3 linked regions of the Neurospora crassa OR74A genome follow. The protein of the gene in region 1 interacts with the protein of each later gene in a pairwise test. Links are inferred from orthologs where the notes say so. Each region holds a gene or a part of one and is shown in the gene's direction. Other genes may lie near its edges.

Region 1 (4,201 bases):
CGGTCGGATCGGGAAAGGTAGACGGGTCATCGCCAAAAGTGTTGGCCTGTGGTCGTGCAGGCGGCGGAGGCTGGCCATCGTCATCGGAATCGTCATCGTCGTCGTCGTCGTCATTTTCCTCGGTCTTTGTCTTTTCGTCGGCCTCCATGGCAGTGGGCGTTCTGGGGGCGACTGGTGAGAGAGAGGAGCTGGCAGAGTCATCGCGGGAGAGCTTCCTGGCTTTGTTTCCGGACTCGCGAACTGGGGAAGAATATTCTGCGGAGAAGAGAGGGGAGTCAGGACCATGCTTTGTATTGTCAAAGCAGGTAGATAATTTCAATTGGAAGGGGGGATGCACGGTGGTTAAGGTGAAGGTGGTGGTAACGGACCTATGCTATTTCCCTGGGGCGGGGCCAGGTTCTCGGTGGCCTTCCGCTTCTTCTTGTTGGCTTTGCGCTCGGCACGCTCCTCCTCGTCGGCTTCCTTCTGGCGGCGTTCCTCCTCGCGGCCGCGCTCGGCAGCCAGCTCGCTCTCGCGGAGGCGGCGGGACTGGGCGAGCAGACGCATGCCTTTGTCACAGTTGGTGCCCCGCTTGTCAATGACCTCGCTAAGACGTGACAGGCGGGACAGGAGGCCATCGAGGCTCTTGGAGTCGGGCGATGCGGTGTTGTTGGCGACGTGGTCGACAAGGTCGTCGTACGTGATGTTGCGGAAGAGGTCGAAGCGCACGTCCAGGGTAGCCGTCTCGTGCTGCTCAATGGGGGGCAGGCTGGCGACCTGGGGAGAGCCGGCGCTGGGCGTGGTGTTGCGACTGCGCGGGTGCTGGTGCTGGCGCATGACACCCGCTCCACCCTTCTTCCCCGTGCCCTTCTGGCTGCCTTTTTGGCCCGAGGGCGGCGGCATTGTTGCTGCGTAATCGGCAACCCCGCGCGCGCTCCTGGCTTTTTTTTTTGCTGGCCGCTGGCTGCTGCGCACCTTACTACGGGTGATCCTGGTGCGGCGACTTCCGGCCCGTGTGCTGTCGGGGGTTCCAGGTATCTGTTGGGATTTTAGGGAGTTCCGTGGAAGAGGATCCGGACTCGGGGGGTCTTGGGGGGGCTGGCTGCTCTGGGTCCTCGGTAGGTAACGGCGATGTCGATATGGCGTCTGTCTGTCTAATAAGGGGTATCAGGACCCGGGAAGGCTGCCGCGTCCACGGCGTGCTCGAGGGATGCTCGTCGCGGTCTGCCTCGCTCGCTGAAAGGCGGTCGATGCTGGTCGATACACAATCCAATGACGGCACAATAACTGATGGCACATCCCTGTCGACCCTGACTGTCGCTCGCGGGGAGTGAAGAATCGTGTGGGAATCAGGCAATGATGGGACTGGGCCAGAGCGCTGGGCGGGCCTCTTTCAACTTCCACTTGCTCTGTAGCGTTCTGCGTTGTAAGTGTACGTAACTAAGTTAGGTGACTAAGTTACGTAGGAGAGGTACACTTCAAGTTGCAAGTGGAATTGGGGTTCCAGAGTTGCCCTTGCCCTGGGCCTCGCAATGCTATTTCCGTCGGGTGTTTGAGTTTGTGTGACTGATGTGCCCGTGTCGCGCCTGTGAATTCCTCGCGTTGCCGTTACTCAACAGACAACTGAACCTGTGCCACACTTTGGTTGTCGGGCACTTCTTTCCTGCAGAGGTAGAGGTCAGTTGGACGGCACTTGGGTTCGACTTCAACATGGGCACTTTCAGGAGGCAGGGCAGCTCTGTAGTGTACAAACTAACTGTGCCATACCTGCCCACCTCCCCGGGCTGTCAGCTGCCAGTAGGTAGGTACTTATCTACTGTGGTAGCACGATACGGGCACCTAGGTCTTGGCGGATAGAGAACAAATGGTCTGTGCTCCCACTGCACTTGATGGACGCTCGGACTCCCAAAGCGCGGCTCACCTCTTTCCAAGTCCTCCACCGAGTTGGGCAGTCGTCTCCTTGGCGTTTACAGTTCCAGCAAGCAACGGGCACCTCGACCAATTGATGAATGCCCGTCACTTTAGTTCTGTTGTCCAACATATCTTAACATCATCAAGGTTGATTTCTTTTCCCGTCACTCATTTGGTAACATAGCAACACTGATACCAACAACATGTTGTTCTTCAGGTAATCTAATTTTCTCATCCAACCCAAGAGGAGCATTCGTGTTCGTTCATTACATCAAGTCATTATTCCCTAGTGGGGTCAAGTCTACGCTATGTTGTGATGCTGCTTTGAAGCCGAGCATGACAAGGTCTGCGACGCATATCAGGAGTTGCTTCACATACCTGGACCAAGCCCTGCCTGAGTTGACACATGATGACTTTTCAACATACCACACTGTTTACCAACATTGCTCATCAATCCCTGCATTCCCTTATGAATACGGACCAGCGCATCGACACCACACCACATCTTCCCACCCCCCCTTCTTCCCTTTCAAGCACCCACCGCAACATCTAGTCAAACAAATACAGACTGACACTTCACGCAAAAAGCTTCTTCAAGACCCTCATCGACCACGAGGTCACGGTCGAGCTCAAGAACGACATCCAGATCCGGGGCGTGCTCAAGAGCGTCGACCAGTTCCTCAACATCAAGCTCGACAACATCCAAGTCGTTGAAGAGCTCAAGTATCCGCACCTGAGCGCGGTCAAGAACGTGTTTATCCGCGGGTCTGTGGTTCGTTACGTTCACCTGCCCCAGGAGAGCGTGGATATCCAGTTGTTAGAGGATGCCACGAGAAGAGGTATGTTTTGTGTGTTGAGTGAGAAGGGGCTCGTGGTAGCTGCATGGAAGGGTTGAATGGGTTGGATGCATACTAACGCCGTGTTGCAGAGGCGGCCAACCAGGCTACGAAAGCTAAGCAGGGTTGAATGTGAGAGGAGAGGAGGAGGAGGAGGAGGGGATCATTCGCTCTAGAACCACTTCACGGAACGCACACCCTAACTTTCGACCCGTTATTGTCGCTACCAACGTTGTCTATCAACAGATGCGATTGACGAAGCTGGAAGGAAACGCGCTCGAGAATCAAGGGCAAACGAAGAGGGCCAGAGACCAGGATGGGGTGGTACGGGAGAAGACAAGCAGGCAGGGCGTCAAGAGTGTCACATAGGCGGATACCAGATGAGGAATGAACACGGCTGAGTTGAACCGAGAATCAGGCAAGGGCGGTGTTCTCCATGTGTGAGTGGAAACGCAAACACAACGGCCGAATAGAGTTTCAGACAGATTTACAAACAACCAACCGACCGCACTCCCCCCTTTCCCAACCCTTCCGCACACCACCATACAGAGCACCGCACAGATTACCAATAAACCTCCCCACCACTCGCATCCTTCCCATCCCAAAACTTCTGCCCTTTGGTATCTTCCCCTTTCTCTCCCTTTCCCCCTTCCTGCTCATGCAAAATCCTCACCAACCCCCCTCTCCTCCTTTCCCCCACCCACCGATCAATCCACCCCTTCATTCTCGCTCTACTCGCCTCGCTCCCCACATTCACCGTCGGCACCACCTTCTCCACCCTCAACGCCATCAAAAAGAGCGCCAGCTCCCTGAACGAGCTGTGCTCGCTATAGGGAACCCCAAAGCACATGGCCTCCCTCCCGCTCCCGCGCTGGGGGACCACGTTCTGTGCAAAGAAGCGGGGGCGGAACCGGTTACCGTGGAGGAGGTGCGTGGTTGGCAGCGACGATGGAGGGAGACTGGCGGTGACGGGGACGGAGGCGGGAGGTCCTGTGTCGATGTCGGGCGGTAACTGTATTTCATGGCTGTTCTGGTTGTTATTGGACCCGGAACCGGGCCGGTAACTCCACCCCGAGGGACGAAACCCGACAATGCGGCTGAACCCGTTGGACCGGTGCAACTCGAGGTACTCAGCCAGCGTATCGGCGCGGATCTCGCCGAGAGCTTGCATGTGCACTTGAGCCTCACGGGGGTCCGCGGTCATCAGGCTGGAGAGCTCGGGGTCGTCGAGCTGTTTGGTGATGCGGATCTTGGAAGGGGAAGCGAAGATTTTGGAGCGGAGGGCTTGCGCGATGGCGACGCAGATGCGCTCTTTACCGATGGAGTAGGTGCCGCAGACCACGAGGAGGCGGTTTTTGCGAATAGTAGAAGAAGAGGTGAGAGCGGTGAAGGCGTTGGGAGGGGGTTTGGTTTCTGCTTGTTGTTCCTCCTCGGGCGGTGTTGGGTTTGATGTGATGCTGCCATCCCCCTTCCTC
Region 2 (4,858 bases), on another chromosome or scaffold:
ACGGTAGCGCTCAAGCTTGGTTGGGTGAGAAGTGTCGGGAAGCCCTGTATGGGGTTGTCGGTCCGGGTGGTAAAGCTTCACCAGCTCGTGGAAGCGCTTCTTGTTATACGGATCATTTTTGCTTTGCCCGAGTATCTCGTAAGGTGTAGGGTTTTTGGACGCGGGCCAATATAATGCGGGGTGGTCTGTCGGCGGCTCCGCGTCTGCTGCGCCGTGATGTACCGAAGCGAAGAGGCGGGTTTGGAAAGCTCCTCGGGCGGTCGGAGCGATCGGACGAAGGTCAAAGAGGACGGGATCGACGGCCAAAGGACCACACGGCCGACTTGATGGTGTTGCTGCTGCCCGGACTAGCGTGAGCGAGCCATGGGCCGCGCGGGCGGCATTGCCGGGGCAGCTGATGGCGGCAAATTTCAAGGAAAACATGGTGACGGCTTCAAGTAGTCATGTTGGAGCTCACTGAGGCTGATAGAGAATCATGGCTCCAGGCGCGACAATTCAGTGTGCCTAGACTTAGTAGTCGATTATGAGTGGGAGTCGGGAGGAGATGGGCGATGGGGATGGCATACAAGAACGGTGTTTGGTGGAGGGTGGGAAACCTGGAATGGATGATGTCGATATGCTGCTGCCCTGGATATGCTGGGAGCTCAGTGTCAGACATTCATTTGACATTGCCTGCCAGCAGCACCTCTGAGTGTGGGGCAGTTCCCGATTACCGCTAAAACCAAGTCGATTTGGATAGGTACAGTGGGGCGCCAAAAAAAACGAACGTTTCTTTTTTACCCGCAAAAAGGGCCAAAACTCAACTTCTTCTACTCTTAATTTCTCAACGTGGTTTATTGCAAAACTCACTCCACGTTCTAAATAGAGATAACTTTAAGAGGAGATACTAATGCAAGTTGTCCGAAAAGATACACTCGAACGGGGGGCAAAAGCGTAAGTACTAAAGTCACTTTCCGAAAAGTATCTCAGATTCTATCCACTATAATGCACTCTAAATGCACTATAACCAAAAATCCTTTTCAAACTCTCATTTGAACAATTGTGATTACACTACTAAACCAATGAAGTCAATTTCATTTATATATCTGGGGAGTATAACTATTTAACTCTGTCCTCCTTTAGTGCATCTGCTTTTGAAAGGTAGTTGGCATGAAAACTAGGGAGTGATAGAGTTGAGTTTTGGCCCTTTTTGCGGGTAAAAAAGAAACGTGTTTTATTTTTGGTCCGGGACTGTACCCTTAAGGGGGGGCTAGCCTTTTTACAGTAAAGCTGGCGCCCAACTGCAAGCCATCTGCAAGCCCACTGTAGCCTCTGGGCGCTCAGAGTGGGTATGTGAACGTGGCTACACCTGGCACAAGGTGTGTGCAGGAGGCTGTCAGCTGTAGGGCGCTCGCTTACAAACCTAGATCGGGTAAGGTGGCCCGCCGAGCCCGCTAAAGGGGGAGCTAAGGGGTATCCAAATCGAATTGAAAAAAGCGGTACTACTAGACTTAGTCGAATGTACCTCTCTGTAGGTACCTATGTACATACTTGACACTGGGCACGCAAGACGGCAGTGAAGAGACGGGCATGATGTACACATTCATGGATCTGACCGTGCTGGAAAATATCGAACTGTTTTCCAATTGTCAAACTTTTTGTCAACTTTGATCATTACTTTGTCCAATTTCGGCTACCTACGTAACAAAGCCCAGAAGGACGTCCATGGACGGGATGTCGCCCGCGATATCCCACCAGTGCGCCGGATGACGTCGATATATACAATGTAGAGGTACGCTAGGTACACTGGGCCACCACCAGAACTACTATGCAGTGTACACTACCCAGGCCAACAGAGAGGAGGCACAGGCAGCGGTCATAGTGTAGGTACACTAGTAGAGGTATAAACCGAATTGCCCCTGAAGTGGGACTGGAAGGCGATGCCGCGGCCGACTTGTGGCCTATGAGTGGCGCCCCCCGCCGCCTTCCATTATGAGACGAGATACACTACACTACGCAGGTATGGAAATGGAGGTCCCGTTCGGTCCCGTCGTGGTGGACACGCTGCTGATTGTGCGATACACAACTGGACTGGAAGGCGCAGGCAGGGTTCGGCAGGGAACATCAAGGGAACACGTGATCCGAGACCCTTTCGGCAGTGGAGTGAACAGTTTTGACGAGGAGAGGAGACTGGACCTGGGACCTGGACGCTCCGGCTCCTTCGTCCACTCACTCGCCCAGTCCTAAACAGCACTGAATCATTCACGACTTCCGCACCGCCTCGCCTCGTCCAAGCTTCGGAAGTTTCCCTCAAACTCTCTGCCTTTCTGCCCCGCTTTCAGACGACGACCACCACCACCACCACAACAACGACAACACTTCAATCACAACAGAACAGAAACACTTTGAGCTCGCTGCAAAGCACCATCTCGTCCCACTCTCCCAACGGCATCGCACACGTCGCTTTGATTCGCCCTTCAGTTTTCACAGGCCAATCAAGTCCCAGCCGTCGACCCCGAATCGGATTCCTCGCAGCCTCTCCCACAAAAGACGTCGCTTGACTTCGAGGCATACAGGCAAAATCAAACGACTGAGAACGTCCTTGGTGCTCCCACACGCAACGAGCCTCCTCGCGACCCCATCCCCATCCACCGCCGTCTCATCTTTGCCCCACGACCGCTCGCGACAGGCCTCCGCCTCCGCCTACAAAGCTACATCTGTCTGGCTCTGCTCACCGTCAACAGACCGAAAAACAAAAGAGAAAGAGGGGATTCCCACCCACAACTAGTGCTCCTCTCCCCTTGTCAACCACTTGTCCATTTCGCTACACACACCCGGAGACGAAGCCATCGCGCTCTACGCTCTCCTTTCTGCAACATCTGAGCCTCGACCACGGGTTCCACAACCGAACAACGACCATCCGGCAAAATGTCCGACCAACTAGCGGATCAGTTGAAAGCTACTAGTCTGAGGTAGGTTGACCGCCTTCCCTTCTGTCCCAAACCCAGCTGACATGTTTTTGATAGCTCAGGCCCGGAAGACTGGAAAAAGGGACTTAACCTACCTGCCAGGGACACAAGACAACAGACCGAGGATGTTACAAACACGAGGGGTCTGGATTGGGAAGACTTCATACACGACAGGGATCTCTTGATGGGCATTTTCGAGGCTGGCTTCGAGAAACCGTCCCCGATTCAGGAAGAAGCGATCCCCGTTGCCCTCACCGGCCGAGACATCCTCGCACGCGCAAAGAACGGCACCGGCAAGACCGCCGCTTTCGTCATTCCCGCCCTCAACAAGATCAACCCTAAGGTCTCCAAGATCCAATGCCTTATTCTCGTTCCCACCCGTGAGCTTGCCATGCAGACATCCCAAGTCTGCAAGACGCTCGGCAAGCATCTCGGCATCAACGTCATGGTGACAACCGGCGGAACTGGCCTGCGGGACGACATTGTGCGTCTGCAGGACCCCGTACACATCGTCGTCGGAACACCAGGTCGTATCCTCGATCTAGCTGGCAAGCAGGTGGCCGATCTCAGCGAGTGCCCAATGTTCATTATGGACGAGGCTGATAAGCTCCTGTCGCAAGAGTTTACCCCCGTCATTGAGCAGCTCCTGCAGTTCCACCCCAAGGATCGTCAGGTCATGCTGTTCTCCGCCACTTTCCCTCTTTCGGTCAAGGATTTCTCGGACAAGAACATGACTAGCCCGTACGAGATCAACCTCATGGACGAGCTTACGCTCCGCGGTATCACTCAATACTATGCCTTTGTTGAGGAGAAGCAAAAGGTTCACTGCCTCAACACTCTGTTTTCCAAGCTGCAGATCAACCAGTCCATCATTTTCTGCAACTCTACCAACCGCGTCGAACTGCTTGCCAAAAAGATCACTGAGCTTGGATACTCGTGCTTCTACAGTCATGCCAAAATGGCTCAGCAGGCGAGAAACCGTGTCTTCCACGACTTCCGCAACGGTGTTTGCCGCAACCTGGTCTGCTCGGATCTCCTCACCCGCGGTATTGACATTCAGGCAGTGAACGTTGTCATCAACTTCGATTTCCCCAAGAACGCCGAGACGTACCTCCACCGTATTGGTCGTTCTGGTCGTTATGGTCACCTTGGTCTTGCTATTAACTTGATCAATTGGGATGACAGATTCAACCTTTACAACATTGAGCGCGATCTTGGTACAGAGATCCAGCCCATTCCTCAGACCATTGACAAGAGCCTCTACGTGTACGAGAACCCTGAATCGATTCCCCGGCCCATCTCGACCTTCAAGCCTATTGCCCAGCAGCCGCAACAGCAATTGCAGCAATCGCAAAGGCCTCAACAGTCTCAACAGCAACAGCATTTCTCAACACAGACACAGCCGTCAAACCAGCTCCCGCCTCAACAGGGCAACCAACAACTTGGCTTCAATCCTCAAGCTCAACAGCCTCACAGACCCATCCCCCAGGCCCAGGGTGATTGGCAAGGGCAAAACGGTCGCCAAAATGGCACAGGTGCTTCCAACAACCAACCCAGACCCACCAACTACCAGAACAATCGCGGGCAGCCCGGTAGCAGCCGCGGAGGTCGTGGACGTGGTTTCCAGGGCCAGGGAGGCCGTCAGAACCAGAACTACGGTGGTCAGCGCGGTCCTCGTACCCAAGGTCAGGGCCAGCCTCAGGGTCCACTGTCTGCCCAGTAGGGTAAACTCTCCCAACAAGTTTTGGAAGGAGGGGGATATGTGGTAATGTGAGGAGGTGTGCGACCATGCATCGCTTCCACGTTGTTTTGTCTTTGAATTGTACATATTAGTCGTCCTTTTTTTTCGGCCATCTCTTTCTGTTCCTCCCGAACTGTGAATGGGCTACCATGACGGCAAGTGTTGTCCC
Region 3 (4,858 bases), on another chromosome or scaffold:
GGTTTTTGATTTGATATAAATAGAGTTCGTAGAGCATTATTATTATAGGGTTAATATAGATAATTTTAACGGCCTCTACGAACTACGGATTCTAGATTGATATTTTGTTAATACTTCCTTAAACCCGATGAAGAATATTAAAGAGGTTAGAAATTGGACTTTAAAAGATAGTTGTGGCTAGTATAGAATGCCTTCGCCTGGGTTCGAATTCCCAATAGAATACCTCGATAAGTTTTATCTCTCTAGGGAGGAATAGTTCCAGAGGATGTTCGTTGCTAATGGTTAGTATAAGTAAAGCTTGTAATTATATGCGTATTGGGCTATAGTACCCCTCGATCTTCCTTAGGTTATTTTTTTTTTCTTTTTTTTTTTTTTCTTTTTTTATATTATTATCCTTAGGTTATTATTTACAACTAGTTTCATGTGTTGTCTTTATTTAGAGCCGGAATTAAAGTTTTTTATTTTTTTTTCGTTATACTTTCTTATTGTTATATTTATATTAAGGAATATATATTTTATACTATTATATCGAAATAGTCCTAAAGGAGGCGTATTTGGGGTAGCCTGAGGTGAATATTCTTATTGGCTACCTATACGGTACCCGTACTCTAATTTTCTTATATACCTAGGTTAGAGTTTTAATTTACAATTATTAGAAAGGGAATAATAGGAATTACTTCTATAAAGAATACCCGCCACTTAGGTAGCTTAGATAAGTAATTTAATATAGCGCTTTCTCCCCTACTACCTACCTCTATCAATATAAGTGTAATATTGATTGAAAATTGCTGTGAAATAATTGTAAGGCTTTTGTTACTTAGAATAGATATTAATTGTTGAATAAATAAATATAATTAAACAATTATTATATTAATAAGAATATTAGCTTGCAATTAGCAATTTAAGTGAGTATATTTATTATGTTGTATATTTTGTAGTTCGGGTCGTATTGTTGTGGTACAGTTCGCTGTTGTCGTACTTTTGTGCGCTGTTGAACGGTTAATTCCGTTTTGTATACAATACCGCGTTAATAGTCGTTGTACTATTAATTAAAACTACGTATTGTAAAATAAAACCAACTTCAATACAACAATATTCAATTATCTAGTAGATTACAGTAAGAAACAATATTGTGTAAGGATGTTGTAGCCCACAACCCCTGCTCAAGCGTTTTATACTATAAAGGCCTGCTACGCCCACTTTTGTCAGACCCCCCATTCCCTCCAGGGCAGTTCCGTTCCGCTCGTCGAGGGCGGAGGCTCGCTTGAGGTTCGTTACCTTGAGGTTCAGTAGTAGCTGGTGCGGGGAGAGAGCTGACAGTGACAGCCGGGAGCCTGATGAGGTGGCGGAGCGCTCACTACTGGCCTGGCCTGGCCGGGCCGAGCGCTAGTACCTAGCTCTAGAGGTACCTCTACCTCTACGACCGACGCTCACGCCGCCCCCAGGCACACAGTCAACCCGCGTGGGGCAACGGAGGCCAACTAGAAACTGCAGTGTGTCACAGCCTGAACACCTAGCCAGCCCGGAGCCCAGGACCCGACACCTTCTCCGTCCCATCCACACCTCTGACGGACCTTCCACTTTTGTTTCTCTTGCGGTTCCATCTCGTAGACATCACCCACTTCTTCCTTTACCTCCGTCTATCTCGAACATAGGCCGCCAACGTCCTAGGCCACTCCTCGGATTCTCAACCTTTCCGCTTTTCTTAGCACTATAGTAGCTTCTTTTCCCGATTGGCGCTGTCGGTTGCTCCAAGGACACTCCTCTTCTTCCCTTCCATAGACAGCATCTTCAGTCTTGGACCTTGCTGCTTCGTCCCCCCTCGGTTTATTGCACCATTGCGATCCCTGGAGGCTTCGCTATCTAGAAACCCGGCCATTATTATTCAGTGCCGGCATTTGAACGACCAGCTTGACGCCTCTCCTTCGCCCCCTGACAGCAGTAACTAAGTAGACTCCCCGTCTGCGACATCTCCTGCGACCGCTCAGCGCGCCCCAATTTCAGACCTCCTTCGCAAACTTCTAGTAGTGTACACATCTAGTCCGGCACCACAGGCCACTTAGTCAACATGGGGTATATGACTCCCACATCAAAGCTCCTCCCTCGCCGTATACGCGCGCGTTGTTCAGGCGTGTGGCTAATACCCCCTCTTGTCCAGTGTTCCCAAGTTCTTCAGATGGCTCTCGGAGCGGTATCCCGCCATTTCTCAGCTCATCGCCGAGAACCGTATCCCCGAGTTCGACTGCCTTTATGTTCGCTGCTCCCTCCCGAGGCCTGATGGCTGTCTTGCGTTACTTGCCTAGCTAACCGGTTTGCTCAGTTGGACATGAACGGTATCATCCACAACTGTACCCATAAGGACACGAGCGATGTACAATTTCGCATGACAGAGGAGGAGATGTTCATTGCTATATTCAACTACATCGAACATCTCTTCGGGAAAATCAAGCCCAAAAAGCTTTTCTTTATGGCTATAGATGGCGTTGCCCCTCGCGCAAAGATGAACCAACAGCGTGCTCGTCGTTTTCGTACCGCGCTGGACAATGAGAAGGCTAGAGATAAGGCGATTCGTGAGGGCAAGGAATTGCCCAAAGAAGAACCTTTCGACAGTAACTGCATCACACCTGGTATGTCTGGCGCTGGTGCCCGCTTGAATGTTTTCCCCGGAGGCTAACTAGCTGCATAGGAACCGAATTCATGGCCAAGCTCTCGCAACAGCTGAGATATTTCATCCATAAAAAGGTCTCGGAAGACAGGGACTGGCAACAGCCCGAGATTGTCTTGTCTGGACACGAGGTCCCTGGTGAGGGTGAGCACAAGATCATGGAGTACATCCGCAATGCGCGCGCTCAACTCGACTATGACGCGAACGTCCGTCACTGTTTGTATGGCCTCGACGCCGATCTGATCATGCTTGGCCTCCTCAGCCATGACCCTCACTTCTGCCTTCTGCGCGAGGAAGTTACCTTTGGCCGCGGCCCGTCTAAGCATAAGGCAAAGGGACTGGAGGAGCAAAACTTCTATTTGATGCATCTCTGCATAGTCCGCGAGTACCTGGAGCTGGAGTTCCAGGATCTCAAGAAACCTGGAGCCATGTCTTTTCCATTCGATATGGAAAAAGTTATTGACGACTTCATTCTTATGGCATTCTTTGTCGGAAACGACTTCCTTCCCAACCTTCCGCGGCTTCACATCAATGAAGGCGCTCTTTCGCTCATGTTTAGGATCTACAAAGAAATTCTTCCGCGCGGCGACGGATATATCAACGAGGGCGGTAAGGTCAACCTCCAGAGACTCGGCCTGCTTCTGGAAGAACTCGGCAAGGAGGAGTATCGCTTTTTCGAACATGAACATGAGGATCAAAGCTGGCTTCGGGCCAAGAAGATGCTTGAAGATAACGAGGCAGAGACAGCAAAGGCAAAGACCAAGGGCAAGCTCATCGTCACCACGAACCAGAAGAATCTCTGGAAGCAGAAGATCAGGAAATTCCTTATGAATAGGAGCACTAATACGCTTGACCTCGGTACCGAGTTGAAGGCCGAGGACCGCAAGTTTGTCCAAGACTTGGCTGATACTGCTCACATTCCTTGGGCAACTAAGGAAGATGACGAGGGACACCGCCACCTAATCCTGTCCTTCCCCGAGAGAGACGACGAGTCGGAAGAGGACGAGGAAGCCCAGTCAGCCGTTCTCCGTATCATCAAGAAGTACGACAACGCCCAAGTCCTGGATTTAACTGCGGCCGACTCGAAGGCTGCCATGGAGGTTAAATACCAGCAAAAGTTCCAAGAGTGGAAAGACAAGTACTATGCCGAGAAGTTTGAGGATTGGACCCCAGAGAACAAGGAGGACGAACTCCGCAAGTTGACGGAGAATTACGTCCAGGGTCTTCAATGGGTGCTCTACTACTACTACCGTGGTATTGCTTCTTGGCCCTGGTTCTATCGCTACCACTACGCTCCCCTGATTTCCGATGTCATGAAAGGCCTGAAAGCCGACCTTAATTTCAAGATGGGTCAGCCGTTCAAGCCATACGAGCAGCTGATGGGTGTCTTGCCAGACCGCAGCAAAAAGATCGTGCCGACAGCATATTGGGATCTTATGACAAACCCCAATTCTCCCATCATCGACTTCTACCCAAGAGACTTTGAGCTTGACATGAATGGCAAGAAGATGGATTGGGAAGCCGTTGTCAAGATTCCCTTCATTGACGAGAAGCGGCTGCTTGCAGCAATGGGCCCCAAGAACGAACTTCTCTCGGACGTTGAGAAGTCGAGGAACGATTTTGGCGTCGCACTCAAGTTCACTTATTCCGATTCGGTAGACTTTGAATACCCTTCCTCCCTTGTCGGAATCTTCCCGCCCATTCCCCACTGCCACTGTATCGAGAACATTTTCGATCTTCCGCCCGTGGAGGGACTGGAATATCGTGTTGGCTTGACCGACGGTGCTCTGCTGAACGAATCGGCGCTGGCCGGATTCCCTTCCCTCGCTACACTGCCATACACCGCCTCCCTTGGGTACCATGGCGTCAACGTGTTCCAGTCGGAGAGTCGCAATCAGAGCATGGTCGTCAATATCCTGGATACGGAGAAGCGCACCAACGTCGAGGAAGCGAAGCGCAAGCTTGGAAAGCGCTGCTTCGTTGGCTACCCTTTCCTTCAGGAGGCTAAAATCGTTGGCGTGTCAGACGAACTTTTTGATTATCATTTGGCAGAAGACGGTAGCGGACAGGTGGTATCGCGCAATCATTCCACACGGGACATCGAGCAATGGGGCAAGACGGCTCACAGAATCGAGAACTTCTACAGCAAACGGCTAGGTATACTGATAGGTCAGGTGGAGTCGTTGGTCCACG

The links.
Region 2: the proteins of NCU07382 (region 1) and NCU06149 interact in binary tests that used the Saccharomyces cerevisiae proteins (3 or more experiments, as listed by UniProt). The link is inferred for Neurospora crassa OR74A from reciprocal best matches to the Saccharomyces cerevisiae genes LSM2 and DHH1.
Region 3: the proteins of NCU07382 (region 1) and NCU06678 interact in binary tests that used the Saccharomyces cerevisiae proteins (3 or more experiments, as listed by UniProt). The link is inferred for Neurospora crassa OR74A from reciprocal best matches to the Saccharomyces cerevisiae genes LSM2 and XRN1.

What each region holds. Positions count from the first base shown.
Region 1 is NC_026501.1:6,140,551-6,144,751, forward strand, and holds NCU07382 (U6 snRNA-associated Sm-like protein LSm2), read left to right. Parts: upstream 1-1,902; 5' UTR 1,903-1,984; coding exon 1,985-2,037; exon of another isoform or gene 2,038-2,093; coding exon of another isoform or gene 2,094-2,107; intron 2,108-2,478; coding exon 2,479-2,729; intron 2,730-2,818; coding exon 2,819-2,856; 3' UTR 2,857-3,228; downstream 3,229-4,201. Other genes in the region: NCU07383 (transcriptional regulator Ngg1), read right to left, coding at 1-255, 369-882; NCU07381 (DNA cross-link repair protein pso2/snm1), read right to left, coding at 3,289-4,201. UniProt on the Saccharomyces cerevisiae protein: Component of LSm protein complexes, which are involved in RNA processing and may function in a chaperone-like manner. Component of the cytoplasmic LSM1-LSM7 complex which is involved in mRNA degradation by activating the decapping step.
Region 2 is NC_026507.1:1,628,217-1,633,074, forward strand, and holds the start of NCU06149 (ATP-dependent RNA helicase dhh-1), read left to right. Parts: upstream 1-2,198; 5' UTR 2,199-2,907; coding exon 2,908-2,951; intron 2,952-3,005; coding exon 3,006-4,671; 3' UTR 4,672-4,858. Other genes in the region: NCU06150 (hypothetical protein), read right to left, coding at 1-423. UniProt on the Saccharomyces cerevisiae protein: ATP-dependent RNA helicase involved in mRNA turnover, and more specifically in mRNA decapping by activating the decapping enzyme DCP1.
Region 3 is NC_026505.1:4,231,618-4,236,475, reverse strand, and holds the start of NCU06678 (exonuclease Kem1), read left to right. Parts: upstream 1-1,503; 5' UTR 1,504-2,068; coding exon 2,069-2,073; intron 2,074-2,158; coding exon 2,159-2,252; intron 2,253-2,320; coding exon 2,321-2,627; intron 2,628-2,686; coding exon 2,687-4,858. UniProt on the Saccharomyces cerevisiae protein: Multifunctional protein that exhibits several independent functions at different levels of the cellular processes. 5'-3' exonuclease component of the nonsense-mediated mRNA decay (NMD) which is a highly conserved mRNA degradation pathway, an RNA surveillance system whose role is to identify and rid cells of mRNA with premature termination codons and thus prevents accumulation of potentially harmful truncated proteins.